2 linked regions of the Xenopus tropicalis genome follow. The protein of the gene in region 1 interacts with the protein of each later gene in a biochemical or structural test. Links are inferred from orthologs where the notes say so. Each region holds a gene or a part of one and is shown in the gene's direction. Other genes may lie near its edges.

Region 1 (3,827 bases):
CAGAAGGTACAGGACTGCTACTTCTACCAGATTTTCATGGACAAGAATGAAAATGTTGGGGTCCCCACAATACAACAGCTTTTAGAGTGGTCCTTTATCAACAGCAGTTTGAAGTTTGCAGAGGTTGGTGCCATCAAAACCAGTCAGATGAAGTTCTGTGCTGTAATTTTTAAAACCCAAGCTAAGGATGAGTTGACTGAATATTCTGTATAAAAGGCTCACTTAATTAGGAAGGACTTATCTTAGCTTCATGCTGTGTGTGTGCCATCCCACCGGCGATGGCAGGTGATGGCAACTCGGGGAGATTAGTCGCCCGCGAACAGGGAGTTTTGTTGCGGGCGACTAATCTCCCCGTGTGCCAGAGCCCTAAGAGTCAAAGACACAAGAGGATGGAGGTCCCTGCCCCGTAGAGCTTAAAATCTAGATGGGAGGGTAACTTACAGACACAAATAGGCAAATATAAGGGCTGTAGGTTACAGTGGGTGACACTGCAATATAAGTGCTAGTTCCCAGATCAGGGGCTGTGCGAGTGCTCCAAGAGGAAGTCTTTAAAGCTGGCCATACACGCACCGATAATATCGTACGAAACCTCGTTTTGTACGATATTCCGTGTGTGTATGGCAAGTCGGCCGATATCGCAGGAGGCTGCTGATATCGGTCGACTCGCCGATCGGCCAGGTTAAAAGATTTTGATCGGACGCCATAGAAGGCGCCTGAGCAAAATCTGCCATCAGGGCTGAATCGGCAGAAGGAGGTAGAAATCCTATTGTTTCTACCTCCTTATCTGCCGTTTCAGCCCTGAAGGTTAGTGGCAGATTGTACGATCGCAAATCACCACGTGTGTGGCCACCTTAAGTTTAGTTTTAAAAAGACGGAAAAAAGGAGGATTCTAAAAAGGAGGATTCTCTCTGGAGGAAGTCTGGGAGGGCATTCCACATGTAAGGCGCAGCTAGGCAGAAAGGTTTTAGGCGGGATACAACAGTAGTAGTGGGGGGCGCAACCAAGCGGTTGCTCTGTGAGGAATGGAGGAGTCGGCCAGGAACGTATGGAGACACAAGACACAGATGTAGTGAGTAGCAGAGGGATGGAGAGCCTTTAAGATTAAGAGAAGAAGTTTGTAAGATATTCTTTGTTTAATGGGAAGCCACGATAAGGACTTTAGCAGGGGAAGGGCCTGAACGCTCCTGGATGAGAGGAAGAGAATTCTGGCAGCAGTATTTAATACAGACTGTAGAAATCAGACATACGTTCAGGGAGAGATTATGCTTTTACAGCAGATTATGAAGAGATTATGCTTTTATAACCTCGGTAAATTTGGCATACCTTGCAATCCAATTAGGTGCCCTTTTAACTTTAAATGGTTCTTTTAGTGGTCCCCTAAATACAATTATTTAATTCAACAAACCCCTGCCTTTGGCACTACAACTGTGGTAAAGTAGTGTTTGTTGTTGCCCTATTGTTGTGGTGGCTATTATTTAATTATAAGAATTGAGTTACTTAATGCCATAAAGACACAATTCTAATTAAAAAAAAAAGTGTATAGAAAGCAGTAATTATTTATCACCCTACACTGTCATGTTCAGTAGTGAGTTATTAAGTTCAGTGAATCTGGTTAAATTGTATTTGTTTAGTTCTTCTGTCTTCTCTTTGGTCTTCAGGCTTGGCACATTGCAACGAGTCTATCTGTCTTGTTGCTGGTTTCGACACACAGAGCTACTTAGTAGCAGCTACTTGTTACAGCTACTAAAATATCCCGTAATAGACAATACTGAGAATTGCCTCTGCTTAAACACACATAGAAACAATTATCAGTAAAAGATCAGCATTGTGTATTATACTAGTCACAACAAGTAGCTGCTACTAGTAGCTCTCTGTGTGTTCACCCTTATACCTTTCAGTTTACCATATTTTTGGTAAACAGTATATATTGTTTGCATGTTAATTCACAATTCTCAAATTTAAAATGGTGCTGCTGGTGGTTTTTGGAATATGATTCTCAGAAATCCATTCTCTTCTCTTTTTTTGTAGGCTCCCTCTTGTTTAATTGTCCAGATGCCTCGGTTTGGCAAAGACTTCAAAATGTTCAACAAAATATTCCCTTCCTTGGATTTGAACATCACAGATTTACTGGAAGACAGTAAGTAAGATTGAGCTTTTTTGTAGCCAAGTCTTATGTTATACTATTTTAAAGATCACATTAAAAGCAGTGTATCAAGCAATTAGTTATTTTAAAGGAGAATGAAAGGCTGTCACTTGGGGGTGCCAAAATGTTAGGCACCCCCAAGTGACTTAAATCGCTTACCTTATACTCTGGGCTGGAGAGAACAGCACCAGCCTTTAACAAGAAAGGCGGCTTTTCACTCTACTGCGCATGCGCCGGCCCAGGGATTTTGCTTGCAGAAGAAAGAGGAAGGAGGAAGCGATCGCTCAAGGTACCCTGGGCTGGTGCTGTTTTCTCCTAACAGGGGCACCAGCCCGGGGTACAAGGTAAGTGATTAAAGTCACTTGGGGGTGCCTAACATTTTGGCACCCCCAAGTGACTTATCCTTTCCTTCTCCTTTAAGAATGTGTAAAAGCAGTACAAACACATTCCTGTAATTTGTCAATTGGTAATATGGTCAGTATCATTAGTTATGCGGTACCGCACTATATTTAAAACTAATAATTCAGCTTCTATACAATTTACATCTATATCTGTTAAGGTGCCCAAACACTGAAAGATCCCCCCCCTTTTTTTTTTTTTTTTTTTAGCAAGGGCACCAGATGAGTGGATCCTTCCATGGTATGCCCACATTGTAGGTCTCATTGGATCACATTGACTGGTTACAAGCCACTGGGACAAGGACTGTGCTGATGCAGTACTTTGCTCTGAATTTTTAAACCTGCTCAGTCGACATCTGCCCAACTTTATCAATTGGGCAGGCCCACCTGAGGGCCCACTAACACGGGCCGATAAGCTTCTGGCCATCTGTAGCATTGATCAGTCTGTGTATGGCCACCTTTAATTAATGGTAAAAAGTAAACCAAAACTTCTACAATTAATGGCACACCTATTGTTTTATTCAATTTGATCTTCTTGGGCAAAACCTGACATACAAATAACTAGAATCACTGACCTGACTGAACGTGATACTGTAAAAAAGAAATTCACTCCTATAGCACAAAAACAAGCTTAAAAGTGCCATGTAATCTACATTTAAATCACAGCAGGAATCGCAGCTATAGGTGTGCCACAGCCTTGAAGCTAAAACTGAACTGTTGTCATGAATGCTGAATAGGACTAGTTGATTCCAGAGACCGAGAACACAGTAACTAAAGCTCCATCTACTCTGTATATGTTCATAATGCTTCCCTTGCAGGAGCTGTTTAATATAGATTAATATGTACGGTGTGCAGTTGCATTGAAACTTTATATCTATAGCTCTGTGTATTCCAACCAAAAAGGGCTTGATGCACATCCTTCTGAATAGCTTCTAAGAGTTGTTTTAAAGCTTAAAAGTTGCAGGTTTATTGCAGATTAATAGATCATTTTCTTTTTAAATGTTGTTCTTCCAGCTCCCCGTCAGTGCCGCATATGTGGAGGTCTTGCTATGTACGAATGCAGAGAGTGCTACGATGATCCAGATATTACTGCAGGGAAAATTAAGCAGTTTTGCAAAATATGCAACACCCAGGTATATAATCTGCAGTAATAATTAAGATACTTAGTCCCACTGTGGTTTATGATATAGTAGCATAGAAATTAGCAGACATACTATTTATTATTTATACATTTATAGTAAATAATATTCCCCCTATTTTAAAATATAAGGATATTATACGTCACT
Region 2 (3,827 bases), on another chromosome or scaffold:
TTTTTGAGCAGTCTTAAAGAACTTCATATCCTTATTTTATTCATTTCTGCAGTTGGAGGCCTCTGGGTTGCCGGGAAATATAGAGTTAAATGTTGGTTCAGCCATGGCTTGCTTTTTAGCTCTGTCTGGAGCTGACATTAACTATGCCAATCACCGTGGGAAGTCTCCCCTGGACCTGATCGCAGATGGAAGGATAACGCACCTTGTGAAAAACTTTGCACAGAAATTCAGGTACCAAAGGGCCATTTTACCATACAGTAAACTTAAAGGCACAGTAACACCAAAAAAATATATATATATTATGTATTTTTGCTCTAGACTGGTAAAAGCTGTGTTTCCTACAATAGTTTATATAAACAAGCTGCTGTGTAGCCTTTGGGGCAGTCATTCAAGGTGAAGTAGCACTAAATGGCAAAGGTTATATAGCCTATAACAGATAAGCTCTGTAGAACACCAATATATTCCAAAGAGCTTATCTGTATATAACTTGTGTTATCTCCATTTTCTATCATCTACACTGGCTGCCCCAACTGCTACACAGAAGGTTTTTCCAGTGCAGGACCTCTTATGTTTCCATGTATCACATGCAATAATATCAGCTCACTGTACAGAGAGTTACACTTATTGCAGATTATTGCCAGTTATACGGCTAATGGCACATATGAATTTTGGGGAAATCCAAAAGATCACTGCTGATCACATCCCATTATTATCAACCAGAGTCTCACAGTTTATTATTTCAATGAGACAAAAAAATACTAAAGAAGGTTCTCCTTTGACTTATCATTGCTTTAAACAACTGACAATGTTCCAGCAATGGATCATTTACAGCCATGTATGCAATTCAGCTGTAGCCATGATTTGGTTTAGTTTTTTATACTATCACACAGCTGGGAGGGATACTTTCTACCACCACCCTCTGTTTTAAAATAAAATATTCTTAATAATCCTTTCTTTCTTTAGAGAACAAGTGGAGTTAGACTCACCAACCGTCAGTTGCAGCCTCCGCAGAGTCCACACTACACCTAATACTATGACTAACCTTAGCCCCTGTAGTGCCGCCAGTCCTGCAGAGTGTCTAGTATGCTCTGAGCTGGCCGTACTAGTCAGTTTCTTCCCCTGCCAACACAGCATAGTATGTGAAGGTAAGAGAAACTTCCAGGTATCATCAATGTAAGTAATTGTGCTGTCATGACTTAATAAGGATGTCTTGGTTTCCTAGTTTTGTCTTTTGCCAGAACTGCCATGTTATAATATACCATATAATATTGTTTTACAACTTCTATATTGGCAGCTAAAAAAAATCACTCCCAAAGAAACACCAGAAATCACGCTGCTGCTCATTGTGCCCTATAGAATTGCACAGAAACCCAGCCGCGTAAAGAGTTCCTTATATGTTTATGTCTTTATTTTAGTTCTGATGCAACCTCCAACGCTTAGGGAAAAAGAGACATGCCCAAGATATTAGGTCCTGCAGATGGCACTGCTGCATTATGTAAAATAAGATTGTTCTCATTAAATGGGATGTAAACCTAGACATTTTGCATAATGAAAAACATATATAAATATAAACAACATTCAAATTTACATTCATTAAACATTTTGTGTAGTAAATGTAACTGCAAATGAAAGCAGTGTCTATCTGTCCTGTTCTGCACTGACTTCTATTATCTCACTGCCTTGCATGTTCCCAGGGTTGTTATAATCTGGCTTCTGCTACATTGTTTCAATAGTCCAAACTACTAGTGCAGACAATAGCAAAGGGCACAGATACTGTTCTCAGGTGCAATTACATTTACAAATAATTTTAAAACCACTGAAAAACTTGTACAGTATATTGGCAAGTACCTTTGAATTACATTTTCTTTTATAATTTTATTTTTGAGTGTAAAAGACAACAGTCTAAAATTTAGTCAGTCTTAAAATCTTGTCTCTTTCACAAATGTTTGAAGTCGTTCCAATACAGCCTTGGGAATAATGTAATAAAAGTCATAAGGTTTTGTCCAGGTTAAGTTCAGCCAATCAGCAGGTAGCATGTTCCAGTCACCTGTTTCAAACCAAACAGCAGTGCTATTGTATACTAGACCTGGTTCCATAGTATTATAGTTTTACCCATTGCAGTCTCATTGCCCACTATTCTCTTCACTAGACATATGGGTGGATGGTCTGTTCTGCACAGATAAACATTTGTTAACTTTGCTCTGTTTTTTTTATCTAAAACATTCTTGAAACATTAAAATATATGTTTAAGAAGTCCGTCAGTACAATGCATCTCACATGTTGGCTTTGTTAATCCTTTAAATAACCTGCCTCTTATCAAGTGTAATAGCAATGTTGTTTTGAGCCATTTTAGTCTGTTTTTTTCACTCACAGAATGTTCCAGACGAATGAAGAAGTGCATCAAATGTCAAGTGTGCATAGCAAGAAAGCTTAGGCAAGGTGGGTAATTTCAAGCCATTTAGATGGTACAGTAGTCACAGGGCAAACATGTAGTTCTATTAAAACAGTGCTGTCCTACTTTTTCCATGTAGTGGATGATTTGAATAATGCTCTATTAAAGGAACAGTAACACCATAAAATGAAAGTAATTAAAATATAACATACTGTTGCCCTGCACTGGTAAAGGTTGTTTGTTGGCTGCAGAAAAATTCCTGTAGTTTATATTAAAAAAAAAATGCTGCTGTGTAGCCATAGGGGCTGCCAATTAAGCTGGAAAAAAAGAAAAAGCACAGGTTACATAACAGATAAGCTCTGTAAAATACAATTGTGTTTTACAGACCTTATCTGTTACTTGCTACGTAACCTGTGCTATTTAGCACTATTTCAATTTAAATGGCTGCCCCCATTACTACAAAGCAGCTTTGTTTATATAAACTAGTCTTTCTGTAGCAAACACACAACTTTTACCAGTGCAGGGCAACAATACATTATAGTTTCATTACTTTGATACATATTAATTGTGTTCCTTTTCCTTTAATAATACTGCGCGTCTTTGAACCAAAGTTCCCACTTCCTCACCCTTATACACTCATATTCATAGTCCTACACTTACATTAACTTGTCTTGTATGCACATGCACCAAAATGTATTCTATTCCATTCTACAGTCACTTAAGTCTAATGAATGCAGGTTCTGTGTGCTAGAATGGATATGAATGATTTTATTTGTTATTGGGACAAAATATATAACCAGTTAATACTTTAATCCCAGTGGAATAGATCATATTCATTTCAGAAGCTTCAGAAGTTGCTCTGGGCCAGTTCCAACAGTTCTTTGGTGCTGGTAAGAAATGGGGAATCCCTAAGTGTAATTATTTTCTATTGCTCTTTATTCTCTTATCCTGTGTGCTTGTGAGGCTTATGATATAGCAAAAATTTATCTCAGGTTCTACTCATTTTTAATTAAATCAATCCCTGCTTTATTTTGTATCAAAATGCCATAAGGGGTCATTTACAATGCTCATTCAGGGAGTAAGTCTGTGGTCTGGCTACACTCCACACCCCGCTGTGGATGAATAATTCCGCCATCACTAATTTCTTGTTTTCTCTGCAATTGTTTTTTAAGTCACATGGGCCATCACACAATGCAAATAATATTCCTTCTTTTCCCAACTCTAGACAGTACTGAAGTTGAATGCAGTCCCAGTTTAGAAGTGTCAGACCAGAAGAAAGTAATGGAGGAGCTCCAGAATCGATACCGCCAAATGGAGGAAAGGATCACCTGTCCTATTTGTATCGACAATCACATCAAGCTGGTGTTCCAGTGTGGACATGGGTCTTGTACTGAATGCAGCACTTCCCTGACTGCCTGTCCCATATGCAGGCAGC

What was found.
Region 2: of the proteins of cyld (region 1) and mib2, one has a biochemical effect on the other in vitro, tested with the Homo sapiens proteins (2 studies listed by BioGRID, with this or other methods). The link is inferred for Xenopus tropicalis from reciprocal best matches to the Homo sapiens genes CYLD and MIB2.

What each region holds. Positions count from the first base shown.
Region 1 is NC_030680.2:51,209,266-51,213,092, reverse strand, and holds part of cyld (ubiquitin carboxyl-terminal hydrolase CYLD), read left to right. Parts: coding exon 1-123; intron 124-2,028; coding exon 2,029-2,137; intron 2,138-3,555; coding exon 3,556-3,674; intron 3,675-3,827. UniProt on the Homo sapiens protein: Deubiquitinase that specifically cleaves 'Lys-63'- and linear 'Met-1'-linked polyubiquitin chains and is involved in NF-kappa-B activation and TNF-alpha-induced necroptosis.
Region 2 is NC_030683.2:92,207,704-92,211,530, reverse strand, and holds part of mib2 (E3 ubiquitin-protein ligase MIB2), read left to right. Parts: intron 1-52; coding exon 53-231; intron 232-963; coding exon 964-1,145; intron 1,146-2,373; coding exon 2,374-2,439; intron 2,440-3,617; coding exon 3,618-3,827. UniProt on the Homo sapiens protein: E3 ubiquitin-protein ligase that mediates ubiquitination of Delta receptors, which act as ligands of Notch proteins.